Linked DNA regions of Saccharomyces cerevisiae S288C. Changing the gene in region 2 together with the main gene of any one other region gives a genetic interaction. Each region holds a gene or a part of one and is shown on either strand. Other genes may lie near its edges.

Region 1 (5,180 bases), on a different chromosome or scaffold from region 2:
CAGATAATATCGGTACGAAATGAAATTCAAGAGTTGAAAGCCGGTAAAGACTGGCATGACTTACAAAATGAACAAGCCAAACTGAACGACAAAGTGAAGCTAAATAAGAGGCTAAATGATTTGACTTCTACTTTGCTAGGCAAATACGAGGGAGATCGCAAAATTATGAGCCAAGATAGCGAGGACGATTCAATACGGGATGACTCAAATATTCTGGATATTGCACATTTCGTAGACTTGATGGATCCATATAACGGACTTCTGAAAAAGATAAATAAAATTAATGAAAATCTTTCTAACGAATTACAACCAAGTCTATAGGGAATTGGTTCAAAAGATGTATATATATATATATATATATATATATGTATGTATATATGTATATATGTATATATGTATTACTTCCATACTAAGGAAGTTGTGTTATAAGGTCATTTTTATGTGGTAGACATACTTCATAGATATGCACAAATCTCTCTTTTTTTTTCCTGTTGTCGCTATTAGCTTATCAAATTTGCATCATTTTCAAGTAACGCTGTGACCATTCTGTAGAAGTAGAAAAAGAATATGAGAAGGTAAAATCCCAATTTTAAAAAGCATTCAATTTTGCATCTACCCAATTTTCTGAAAATATCCGTGGCGTCCAGTAGATGTGTTTTCTTGTAGACTTTACTTGCGTTATATGCTAGAACAGGGACATTCAAGAGAAATACGAACCAGTACCCGTTAAAAAGAAACAATGCAGAAATGAAAGCTTGTAGAATTGCCTCTGGTACACTCAACCTATTCACCCTCTTACACAGTTCGATTGAGTTGATATAGTCTGCTTCAAGATCACCATATAATATAGTAAAGTATATCTGGCAAATGGAATTCAAACAATTCAGTATAAGACCCGTCACGAATAGCGATAATCCGGTTCCTGACATCTTTACTCTTGGCTTCGAACTTCTTGGTGCCTGCAGTTAGTTTTATCTTTAGTAAAAAATGATAATGAAAGTGCTTATATGAATAAAGGTATTAATGTCTTCGTATTTAGCAATGTAATTGAAAAATCATTCGTGGCCCACGACAATATTTCCAAATTATCACAGCTTTCGATAGAAGTGAACGATTTTGAATTAGAGAGAGTAGTAGTGAGCTAGACGTACTGTGTTTTGAGAATTGAAGTTTGTATAGCAAAACTATACTATCATAATGCAACATTCAAGAAAAATAATGGTATAGAAACAAAAAATAACTCCGATACGGGGAGTCGAACCCCGGTCTCCACGGTGAAAGCGTGATGTGATAGCCGTTACACTATATCGGATAATAACTTATGTTTGATTTAACCTTAAAGATTTTCTATGTCAAGTTTAAACTGGAGGGCTTTCTATTGCCGAACAATCCTAGCTAAAGGCTTTTTTCCCTATTTACAGAAGAAAATGTAATGACTGAAGATTTTGAAAGGTCTCGTTTGATGGCTAGCAGGCTACACCTAGAATTACCCAATTCCAAAGGTTGGTCATCATAGGAAAACAACCAGCATGAACCTTACCCTAGTTCTCTTGCTACTATTTCACATCATCAGGTGATGTCAACTCAGCTTATTGTCAGTGACGACGGATTAGCATTGATACCTGATGTCATTTTAACACGTGTGTTGGATGGGATCCTATACACACCCAAAGAAGATGATTTTTACAACGACACCACCACCATGTATTATGTTTTTGCCACCTGGGGTGATCAAAGTTGGTCATCCTTCGGTTATGATAATACAGCAAGCCTGCAAGAGCACGAAAGATATGTTTTCTAACTTCTTGCCGAGCAGGGAATATTGGGGATTTGGACCGTTGGAATAAATGGGTCCTCAATATTGACAGGAGTCGGTTTTGGAATGAGAATTAACTATCATTTAGTGATGGTAATCCTATTACTAGAATATTATCAGATACAATGTTAGAGGACAATAGGAATACATAAAATAGAAGAAATAATGATGGCATTACATCGAAATATCGATTACACTATATCTTGGAGGAGAACTTTTTATTTTATTTTGTATATCTGATGCTATAGCCTCTAACAATAAGTTAATCCCAACAACTATCTCAATATTCATATAATCGTCTGAGAGATTGATAACAGCTAGTAATGTAGCTAACAGTCAAAAGATAATAAATGATTCATCTTCCAACAGCTTGCGGGGAAAGTTTTTCACACTAATGTGCGGTGTTGTTTTCCTTAACAGGCTCTGAGCAAAATATGGAGAGAGAGGTCTCATTTACTTTGCCATTCTTCATTTAAGCTTGAGGCTTGTTCTACTGAAATGTTAAGTTCTCAGAAGCCAACTTTGGATCAAAGGGCTTTGTTAGTAGCAAAACGCTATTTCTATTGATTTTGATTATTTTTCGAAACATTAAGAGCACAATGTATATTAATTTTCCCTGATGAATAGTTAAGATGATTAGATGGGCTAGGCGCTTAAAAATGAGAAACAGGTGAAATTTGAGATAAATGTTGATTTCGTTGTTGCTAAAGGCTATAATATCAGGTATACAAAATATACTGGAAATATACCTCGAGAATCTTGGAATCCACGAAAGGGAATAGATATTACTCCATAATAATATTATGTTGGAACGAGAGTAATTAATAGTGACATGAGTTGCTATGGTAACAATTCAATGCTTACATCGTATATTAATGTACAACTCGTATACGTTTAAGTGTGATTGCGCCTATTGCAGAAGGAATGTTAAACGAGAAGCTCAGACAATACTGAAGCTGTGTTAAAGACCTATTAGTTGAACATGTTATGGTAGGTACATATATGAGGAATATGAGTCGTCACATCAATGTATAGTAACTACCGGAATCACTATTATATTGGTCATGATTAATATGACCAATCGGCGTGTGTTTTATATACCTCTCTTATTTAGTATAAGAAGATCAGTAATTATTTCTTCATTAATACTAATTTTTAACCTCTAATTATCAACATATTATTTCTCCTTTCGTTTTATCTGATGTCATTCATTGATTGCCAGCAACTATCCCAAACCTCATGTGATTCTCGGATTCCTTACCACGAAAAAACAGATGTGTAAGTGTATTTGAACACACAATAATAAAAATGATTATCATTCCCAGATGGAGGAGCCCATTCCAAACATAGCAAAATTCAGCACATCCTCTTCGTTAGCATTTCCGTATGGAAGCAACCCTCAGTCCAACAAATACCGTTTAAACAAATGAGCGACATTTATTCGCTTTTTCTAAAATAAAGGTCCCCGCTGAAACTTCTTTGCATACAGTTCAAATATTCCACCGTTCTCTTATATGTGGGGCTGGCACTACTTCGTATAATTGACTATACTATCTATATTAGTCTTCCCACATGTAATAGAAAGCTCGTATGGCGCAGTGGTAGCGCAGCAGATTGCAAATCTGTTGGTCCTTAGTTCGATCCTGAGTGCGAGCTTCTTTTTTTTTTTGCAATCCTTATTGAACTTTTTTTCTTGCTGCAGTCTCCTCAAAGGCAACATGTTCTTTGCTTTTTTTCCCCAACGACGTCGAACACATTAGTCCTATGGCTTGCTGCAGATAAGGCTACTATGTGTATTGGCAATACCCTTTTTAAAATTGGCAGATCTCTTATGGCGATCGCCGAACGCCAGGTTGTTAGCTAACTGCAACGGCACGCATCTTTGGCTGCATTTCGCCTCATCATTTACGCGCTTTTCCAGGCTTTTTCCCCTTATCAGATAAGATAAAAAAACGAACAATAAATAAGCTTCAGATAAGATAAGCAGGAAAGCGTTCCTAGCCCTACCGAGAAATGTGCGTTTATAGTTTGGTGCCTCTTTCTTGATTGACGCTCTATAATGAAACCAATATGCGTTCATTCCCCTATTTCATAGGGCACTCTGTTCGCAGTTAGCGCAAGCCATTGAGATAAGACACGCAGATGTTTTGCTTTTTCCTGCTTCTTAATTTGAATCGAGCTTTGTTAGACGTTGTTGGAAATTGAATGTTTGTATTTAAACACTAGAGCAGATGAGGTGTGAGATTTGTATACTCGCTCACTTCTGAATATCAGGCTCTCTTAGCTAAGCTTTTTTTTTCTAGGATCATATAGGCTCAAGTTTTTATAAGCTTATATTAATATATCAGTGGAGCAGCTGATATACACCAAATTTCAATTTACATTAATATAAAAGATAAAAAATAGAAATATCTTTTTTATAGTCACAATAAATTTCAGTTTTGATTAAAAAATGACAGTTAGTTCCGATACAACTGCTGAAATATCGTTAGGTTGGTCAATCCAAGACTGGATTGATTTCCACAAGTCATCAAGCTCCCAGGCTTCACTAAGGCTTCTTGAATCACTACTAGACTCTCAAAATGTTGCGCCAGTCGATAATGCGTGGATATCGCTAATTTCAAAGGAAAATTTACTGCACCAATTCCAAATTTTAAAGAGCAGAGAAAATAAAGAAACTCTACCTCTCTACGGTGTCCCTATTGCTGTTAAGGACAACATCGACGTTAGAGGTCTACCCACCACCGCTGCATGTCCATCCTTTGCATATGAGCCTTCCAAAGACTCTAAAGTAGTAGAACTACTAAGAAATGCAGGTGCGATAATCGTGGGTAAGACAAACTTGGACCAATTTGCCACAGGATTAGTCGGCACACGGTCTCCATATGGGAAAACACCTTGCGCTTTTAGCAAAGAGCATGTATCTGGTGGTTCCTCCGCTGGGTCAGCATCGGTGGTCGCCAGAGGTATCGTACCAATTGCATTGGGTACTGATACAGCAGGTTCTGGTAGAGTCCCAGCCGCCTTGAACAACCTGATTGGCCTAAAGCCAACAAAGGGCGTCTTTTCCTGTCAAGGTGTAGTTCCCGCTTGTAAATCTTTAGACTGCGTCTCCATCTTTGCATTAAACCTAAGTGATGCTGAACGCTGCTTCCGCATCATGTGCCAGCCAGATCCTGATAATGATGAATATTCTAGACCCTATGTTTCCAACCCTTTGAAAAAATTTTCAAGCAATGTAACGATTGCTATTCCTAAAAATATCCCATGGTATGGTGAAACCAAGAATCCTGTACTGTTTTCCAATGCTGTCGAAAATCTATCAAGAACGGGCGCTAACGTCATAGAAATTGATTTTGAGCCT
Region 2 (8,513 bases):
TAGACCCAACCAGCATCCAAACCGGCAACCATACCGCCACTCATAGCGGTAAGGAAAGACACCGCTAACAAAGCTAAAGAAATCTTTCTCATTGGGCCAATTGCGGGATTATCTAATTTTTTGAAGAGACTAATGGCTTGAACAGGGTTCTTAATCCATTTACATTCTCTCAATATTTCCAAACCAGTCCAGAGCATACCCATGTATAAAAAGAAGGCGGTACCCAAATGCGTAGTAAGTCTATATTGAGAAACGGTAGGCTTTGATTTTCTTGCGTCTAGTTGCTCTTGATCAAGACCAGACTTCACCATCCACCAACCAACAAATCCTTGTAATCCTAATAAACCTGCGAGACCAAACAACCTCTTATTGACATGGCCTGAAGTTTTTTTAGATACAGCGAAATAAACTGCAGGTAATATAAAAACAGCGCCGATAGCACGACCCCACAATCTATGAATCCACTCCATAAAAAATATAAACTTGAACTCGTCTAAATCAATGTGAGAATTCAACAATTTAAATTCTGGTGATTCCTTATACTTGATAAATTCTTCTTCCCATTCCTTCTGGTTCATAGGGGGCAAAGTACCTGTGACAGGTTTCCATTCGGTAATACTCAGCCCCGATTCTGTTAGTCTAGTCAACCCACCAAGAACAACAATACCAAATACCAAACCGGATGTACCTATTAACCAGTAAGCAACATTCTTCGAGGTCTTCAAACGTGATTCTATAGGGTTTGATTCTGAAGCAACATGTGGTTTAAAAACAGGGGAGGAGAGAGAAAATGGACGGATGCTCACAGTTTTCTTAAAATTATATAGTTGAGTCTTTCTGATTTGTTGTCTGATGGTAGAAATATTCCTTGAGGCCCCAATACTTTGCCAGGCCAAACGACTCGAGGTTCTCGTTAATAGCTTAGCTGCCTGCCTGCCCACTTCTATGTTTCTGAAAAGCATGACGTACAGTAGTTACAACTTCAGTGCTGTGCACTATTATATAATACAGTTCCAAGTTACAATAGGAAACTAAATAAACGATAAAGGAAAGATCAATAATTCAAAAGGCAAGAACTTATAAACTGCAAAACAATAGCTTTTTAGTAAGCAGGGTTTCTTTTTTGCTCCTTGCAATATACGAAATATCCGAAAGCCGTAAGCCGCGATAAATGCGGATCTTAGATTACCATATTCTTTTAGAAACCATTTTATAGCGAGCGACATTTTCAAGCGATCGTGGATTCTTGGAATCTTTCTGTCTTCTAATATCATTTAGGCTAGGAGGAGTACATTCAGCAGTTAAAGTAGTTTTTCTTTTCCGCATTGGCGATACACTTTCGGTCTCTATACGATTCTCTTTATTGTAATCAGAATGTAATGCAATTCTTGTAGACACGTCGACTTTACCCATACCGCCCGAGAGTAAACCTGGGACGTATTCTTCTTCAGTTACAACGGTATTGAAAGCTTGGTCTCTGAACCGTTGCTCTATCCGTTTGCTCCATTTGATTAAAATAAGATCTAGTGTAAATTTTGCCAACAATGCTAGTAAAAACACGGATGCCCCCATGAAGAGGATCCTAAATAGCGAAGGAAGGTAAGAAGGTTCCGATGATTTAAAAAGTGTTGGCCTCACCATTACAATAAAAAGGACAACGAATGCAGGTAAAGGCAATCCCAATCTATCTTCTAATTTGTGCGTTCTCGTAGAATAATCCTTGTATATTATATAATAGAACTTATCATATATCTGTGGGCGGATCCGATTGAATTTTGTGATGTAAGCATGCTTTGCCCAATCCACTAACACTTCACTCCCTACCACGCTTACCATCGGCCCACAAAGTATGTTAATGACGATTGATAATGTGGAACGTGGACTCCAGAAATTGATGCTTGTGTTCGATAATGAAGATGACCACGACTGGAGGTTCCTAAGGCCAGTTATTGACAATAATAAGGTCAACTTAAATCTTTCCACTACGTCTGCAATGGTTATTTGGAAAAATCCCTCCTTATCAAATTTCTTTAAAACCGATGATTTGATTTCTGCAAATTGCATGGATAGTAATAAAGTTAGCAAGGCATTGGAATACGAATTCACGGCTATGTTTAATGAAATGGCCTGGTAAACCAATACATAGCCGTGTATAGTCACATATGTCAAGCTCATTGACACTAACAAACATTTATGCAGTAATATCCGTTCCGAGTTTTTCCTAGAAAGCATAACCGTTAATAAGCTCTGGCCCAAACTTGCCAACATTTTGTCCGCCATTTCCAGTACACTGAATAGCATGTACAATTTCATCGTACTTTGCCGTTTTATCCTGTGATATAGTTTTGAGGTGTCTAGTTTGCTCAACAAAATGGATGAAATCACGATGATAAAAATCATACATCTCTCTTTATATTCTCTTGAAGTTATTCTATATCGAAAGGGTATTTTATTCTTATGCCCAGACCGTTGTTGCAGGCGATAATGCTGACGATAACTCTTGAATTGCTTTACATATCCCTTTATCAGTCGTATCGGTAATACAGTAAAGTAATACAAAAAACAGTCCAAGCTTGTTAAAAGTGCAAAGAGCATGAACTTTTCCAGGAACATTGGTATTCTTATCATGTTGAGTAATTGTTCCAATTCATAATCATCCTCATGTTCTTCTTCGCTTTTTGCAGCGCTACTTTCATCTTGCTCTTCAACAATATTGTGTCTATCTATAGTATTCCATAGGAAGGACCACTTTTTGTCTAATCGTGAAATTATATGTATAGCTGACGGCGCACTATTTCTTCTCAGTAAACGTTTTTTAGCTGTGTCCTTCGCTACTGCCGTATCCTTGTGTTGCATGGGAGTGCTGCTTTTTTTTTGGATTACTCGGTAGAATAATATATACACCTTATAGATCGATCAGGTCGATTCAGAGACAGCATCGTGATATTAAAAGTAACTAATTTTCTTATTTCATCTCTTTCCGATATTTTTGTCCGAAATAGGAATACTACAATACAAAATCAGCTGGCATCCAGAAGTGGTCAAAAGCAATGGAAAAGTGAAGAAAGAGACACATTGAGGAGCGAATTGAACAATTCATAAACATTCCCAGTCTAAAATATCTATACATCGGCATCTTAGTTTGAAAAATTAGGACGAAGTTAACAAGAATAAGAAATGGCGACGATTGAAGATATTAAGGAAACGGCGTTAATCCCTTTCCAAAAGCACAGGCAACTTTCCATGCATGAAGCAGAAGTTATAACTTTAGAGATTATAGGCTTATTATGTGATTCAGAATGCAAGGATGAGAAAACATTGAAATATTTGGGCCGATTTCTCACACCGGATATGTATCAAGACCTAGTAGATGAGAGGAATCTAAACAAAAGATGCGGATATCCTCTTTGCGGTAAATCGCCAGAAAGAATACGTGATCCATTTTCAATGAATGATACTACTAAGAAATTTTTATTAGAAAACAATCCGTATGCATATTTGTCGCACTATTGCAGTAAGTTCCATTTTAGATGTTCCCAATTTTATCAAGTGCAACTATCTGATGAAGCTTTATTTGCAAGAACAGGGGTTCACCTATTTGAAGATCCTGAACAGGACAAACACGATATAGATTTCAAAGTGACTTTGTTTGAAGAGTTGCTAAGAGAAAAGGCATCCGAAGAAGACATTAAATCATTGATATCCGGTCTCAAAAAGTTAGGATTAAATCCTGACAGTGGGACTACAGAAAAAGATGATACTGAGCTGGAAGATGATTTATCGAAGTGGTTGGCACAAATCAAAATTGTTGAGAATGATAATCCCAGCATTTTGGGTGATTTCACAAGGGAAGATTGACCGGCTATATCAATGCACCTAAATTCAGAACAGATTATGGACGTTTCATTGGCTGAAAATAGTTAATTCATCATCATAACTTAAAATACTTTACAGCGCCAGGACAAAAATACTGTTATTCGTGTATGTCAAAATGTGGTTCTCAATTTTCTACAATGTAGCGCTTTTATAACTTTGCTATAATTCACTTTGAGTCACCACGTAGCAATTCTTTACATACCTATTGGTTTCTCTGAAGGGCCATCCATATACGAAAGTGTTGCTTCAGAGTTTTGGTTCGAAAATCAACAAGTATTTAATGTGTTGAAGTATCGCGACGTTCCTTCCTTTTGGGCAATAACGGTAGAACTGGCCGTCCAGCATCGAATGGATACAATAGAAGGAAAATTTGGCAATTCAGAACAGTAGATATTTATCTAAGACGACCCAACAGCTAGGACGCTGCAAGAAGAATCGTTCACCTTCAATTTATTATTTGTTTAGCAAGACGAGAGTATGTGGGATTTTTGTGTGATAATTTAATGAAAGTTAGATAGGTGTCTGACTTCGATCTTTCGTTAAACTAATATTCTTAGTTTATAGAATACACTTGAAGCTCTCTTCGAGAACATAGGAAACCCACAGAAGGAAGTCGACACTTCTAGATAATAATATTGTCTCTTTTTTTTTTGTTTTGTATGTTATCAATAATTATCCTACTATTTAGTAAATCTTTTACGTTTCGGCATCCATGGAATTTGATAACCAATTCTCATCATGTATGTCATCTTCCTAGTTTGTGTAGAACGATATACTTATAAGTATATACTAGTCAATTCATGATTTTATTTGACCCTGTTAGTCCATCAATATACGCCATCTTTTTACTAATATATATAATGGCGTTAAAATACCGGTAAATCGTTCAATTGACTATAAGCAGTTTCTTCATTTGTAGAGAATGTGGATTTTGATGTAATTGTTGGGATTCCATTGTGATTAAGGTTATAATATTAGGTATGTAGATATACTAGAAGTTCTCCTCGAGGATTTAGGAATCCATAAAAGGGAATCTGCAATTCTACACAATTCTATAAATATTATTATCATCGTTTTATATGTTAATATTCATTGATCCTATTACATTATCAATCCTTGCGTTTCAGCTTCCACTAATTTAGATGACTATTTCTCATCATTTGCGTCATCTTCTAACACCGTATATGATAATATACTAGTAACGTAAATACTAGTTAGTAGATGTGTTGGAATAGAAATCAACTATCATCTACTAACTAGTATTTACATTACTAGTATATTATCATATACGGTGTTAGAAGATGACGCAAATGATGAGAAATAGTCATCTAAATTAGTGGAAGCTGAAACGCAAGGATTGATAATGTAATAGGATCAATGAATATAAACATATAAAACGGAATGAGGAATAATCGTAATATTAGTATGTAGAAATATAGATTCCATTTTGAGGATTCCTATATCCTCGAGGAGAACTTCTAGTATATTCTGTATACCTAATATTATAGCCTTTATCAACAATGGAATCCCAACAATTATCTCAACATTCACCCATTTCTCATGGTAGCGCCTGTGCTTCGGTTACTTCTAAGGAAGTCCACACAAATCAAGATCCGTTAGACGTTTCAGCTTCCAAAACAGAAGAATGTGAGAAGGCTTCCACTAAGGCTAACTCTCAACAGACAACAACACCTGCTTCATCAGCTGTTCCAGAGAACCCCCATCATGCCTCTCCTCAACCTGCTTCAGTACCACCTCCACAGAATGGGCCGTACCCACAGCAGTGCATGATGACCCAAAACCAAGCCAATCCATCTGGTTGGTCATTTTACGGACACCCATCTATGATTCCGTATACACCTTATCAAATGTCGCCTATGTACTTTCCACCTGGGCCACAATCACAGTTTCCGCAGTATCCATCATCAGTTGGAACGCCTCTGAGCACTCCATCACCTGAGTCAGGTAATACATTTACTGATTCATCCTCAGCGGACTCTGATATGACATCCACTAAAAAATATGTCAGACCACCACCAATGTTAACCTCACCTAATGACTTTCCAAATTGGGTTAAAACATACATCAAATTTTTACAAAACTCGAATCTCGGTGGTATTATTCCGACAGTAAACGGAAAACCCGTACGTCAGATCACTGATGATGAACTCACCTTCTTGTATAACACTTTTCAAATATTTGCTCCCTCTCAATTCCTACCTACCTGGGTCAAAGACATCCTATCCGTTGATTATACGGATATCATGAAAATTCTTTCCAAAAGTATTGAAAAAATGCAATCTGATACCCAAGAGGCAAACGACATTGTGACCCTGGCAAATTTGCAATATAATGGCAGTACACCTGCAGATGCATTTGAAACAAAAGTCACAAACATTATCGACAGACTGAACAATAATGGCATTCATATCAATAACAAGGTCGCATGCCAATTAATTATGAGAGGTCTATCTGGCGAATATAAATTTTTACGCTACACACGTCATCGACATCTAAATATGACAGTCGCTGAACTGTTCTTAGATATCCATGCTATTTATGAAGAACAACAGGGATCGAGAAACAGCAAACCTAATTACAGGAGAAATCTGAGTGATGAGAAGAATGATTCTCGCAGCTATACGAATACAACCAAACCCAAAGTTATAGCTCGGAATCCTCAAAAAACAAATAATTCGAAATCGAAAACAGCCAGGGCTCACAATGTATCCACATCTAATAACTCTCCCAGCACGGACAACGATTCCATCAGTAAATCAACTACTGAACCGATTCAATTGAACAATAAGCACGACCTTCACCTTAGGCCAGGAACTTACTGAATCTACGGTAAATCACACTAATCATTCTGATGATGAACTCCCTGGACACCTCCTTCTCGATTCAGGAGCATCACGAACCCTTATAAGATCTGCTCATCACATACACTCAGCATCATCTAATCCTGACATAAACGTAGTTGATGCTCAAAAAAGAAATATACCAATTAACGCTATTGGTGACCTACAATTTCACTTCCAGGACAACACCAAAACATCAATAAAGGTATTGCACACTCCTAACATAGCCTATGACTTACTCAGTTTGAATGAATTGGCTGCAGTAGATATCACAGCATGCTTTACCAAAAACGTCTTAGAACGATCTGACGGCACTGTACTTGCACCTATCGTAAAATATGGAGACTTTTACTGGGTATCTAAAAAGTACTTGCTTCCATCAAATATCTCCGTACCCACCATCAATAATGTCCATACAAGTGAAAGTACACGCAAATATCCTTATCCTTTCATTCATCGAATGCTTGCACATGCCAATGCACAGACAATTCGATACTCACTTAAAAATAACACCATCACGTATTTTAACGAATCAGATGTCGACTGGTCTAGTGCTATTGACTATCAATGTCCTGATTGTTTAATCGGCAAAAGCACCAAACACAGACATATCAAAGGTTCACGACTAAAATACCAAAATTCATACGAACCCTTTCAATACCTACATACTGACATATTTGGTCCAGTTCACAACCTACCAAAAAGTGCACCATCCTATTTCATCTCATTTACTGATGAGACAACAAAATTCCGTTGGGTTTATCCATTACACGACCGTCGCGAGGACTCTATCCTCGATGTTTTTACTACGATACTAGCTTTTATTAAGAACCAGTTTCAGGCCAGTGTCTTGGTTATACAAATGGACCGTGGTTCTGAGTATACTAACAGAACTCTCCATAAATTCCTTGAAAAAAATGGTATAACTCCATGCTATACAACCACAGCGGATTCCCGAGCACATGGAGTCGCTGAACGGCTCAACCGTACCTTATTAGATGACTGCCGTACTCAACTGCAATGTAGTGGTTTACCGAACCATTTATGGTTCTCTGCAATCGAATTTTCTACTATTGTGAGAAATTCACTAGCTTCACCTAAAAGCAAAAAATCTGCAAGACAACATGCTGGCTTGGCAGGACTTGATATCAGTACTTTGTTACCTTTCGGTCAACCTGTTATCGTCAATGATCACAACCCTAACTCCAAAATACATCCTCGTGGCATCCCAGGCTACGCTCTACATCCGTCTCGAAACTCTTATGGATATATCATCTATCTTCCATCCTTAAAGAAGACAGTAGATACAACTAACTATGTTATTCTTCAGGGCAAGGAATCCAGATTAGATCAATTCAATTACGACGCACTCACTTTCGATGAAGACTTAAACCGTTTAACTGCTTCATATCAATCGTTCATTGCGTCAAATGAGATCCAACAATCCGATGATCTTAACATAGAATCTGACCATGACTTCCAATCTGACATCGAACTACATCCTGAGCAACCGAGAAATGTCCTTTCAAAAGCTGTGAGTCCAACCGATTCCACACCTCCGTCAACTCATACTGAAGATTCGAAACGTGTTTCTAAAACCAATATTCGCGCACCCAGAGAAGTTGACCCCAACATATCTGAATCTAATATTCTTCCATCAAAGAAGAGATCTAGCACCCCCCAAATTTCCAATATCGAGAGTACCGGTTCGGGTGGTATGCATAAATTAAATGTTCCTTTACTTGCTCCCATGTCCCAATCTAACACACATGAGTC

The links. Genes that interact genetically often act in the same process or in processes that back each other up.
Region 1: mutations in EMP65 (region 2) and ERV15 together harm fitness more than expected from each alone (negative genetic interaction), as found in Saccharomyces cerevisiae (2 studies listed by BioGRID).

What each region holds. Positions count from the first base shown.
Region 1 is NC_001134.8:641,299-646,478, reverse strand, and holds ERV15 (Erv15p), read right to left. Parts: upstream 930-5,180; coding exon 501-929; downstream 1-500. Other genes in the region: AME1 (Ame1p), read left to right, coding at 1-321; YBR209W (uncharacterized protein), read right to left, coding at 3,579-3,896; DUR12 (bifunctional urea carboxylase/allophanate hydrolase), read left to right, coding at 4,269-5,180.
Region 2 is NC_001137.3:445,908-454,420, reverse strand, and holds EMP65 (Emp65p), read right to left. Parts: upstream 2,857-8,513; coding exon 1,186-2,856; downstream 1-1,185. Other genes in the region: COX15 (Cox15p), read right to left, coding at 1-962; RNA polymerase II subunit B1 CTD phosphatase RTR1, read left to right, coding at 3,178-3,858; YER138W-A (uncharacterized protein), read right to left, coding at 4,843-4,947; YER137C-A (gag protein), read left to right, coding at 5,397-6,719. UniProt on the Saccharomyces cerevisiae protein: May be involved in membrane protein folding.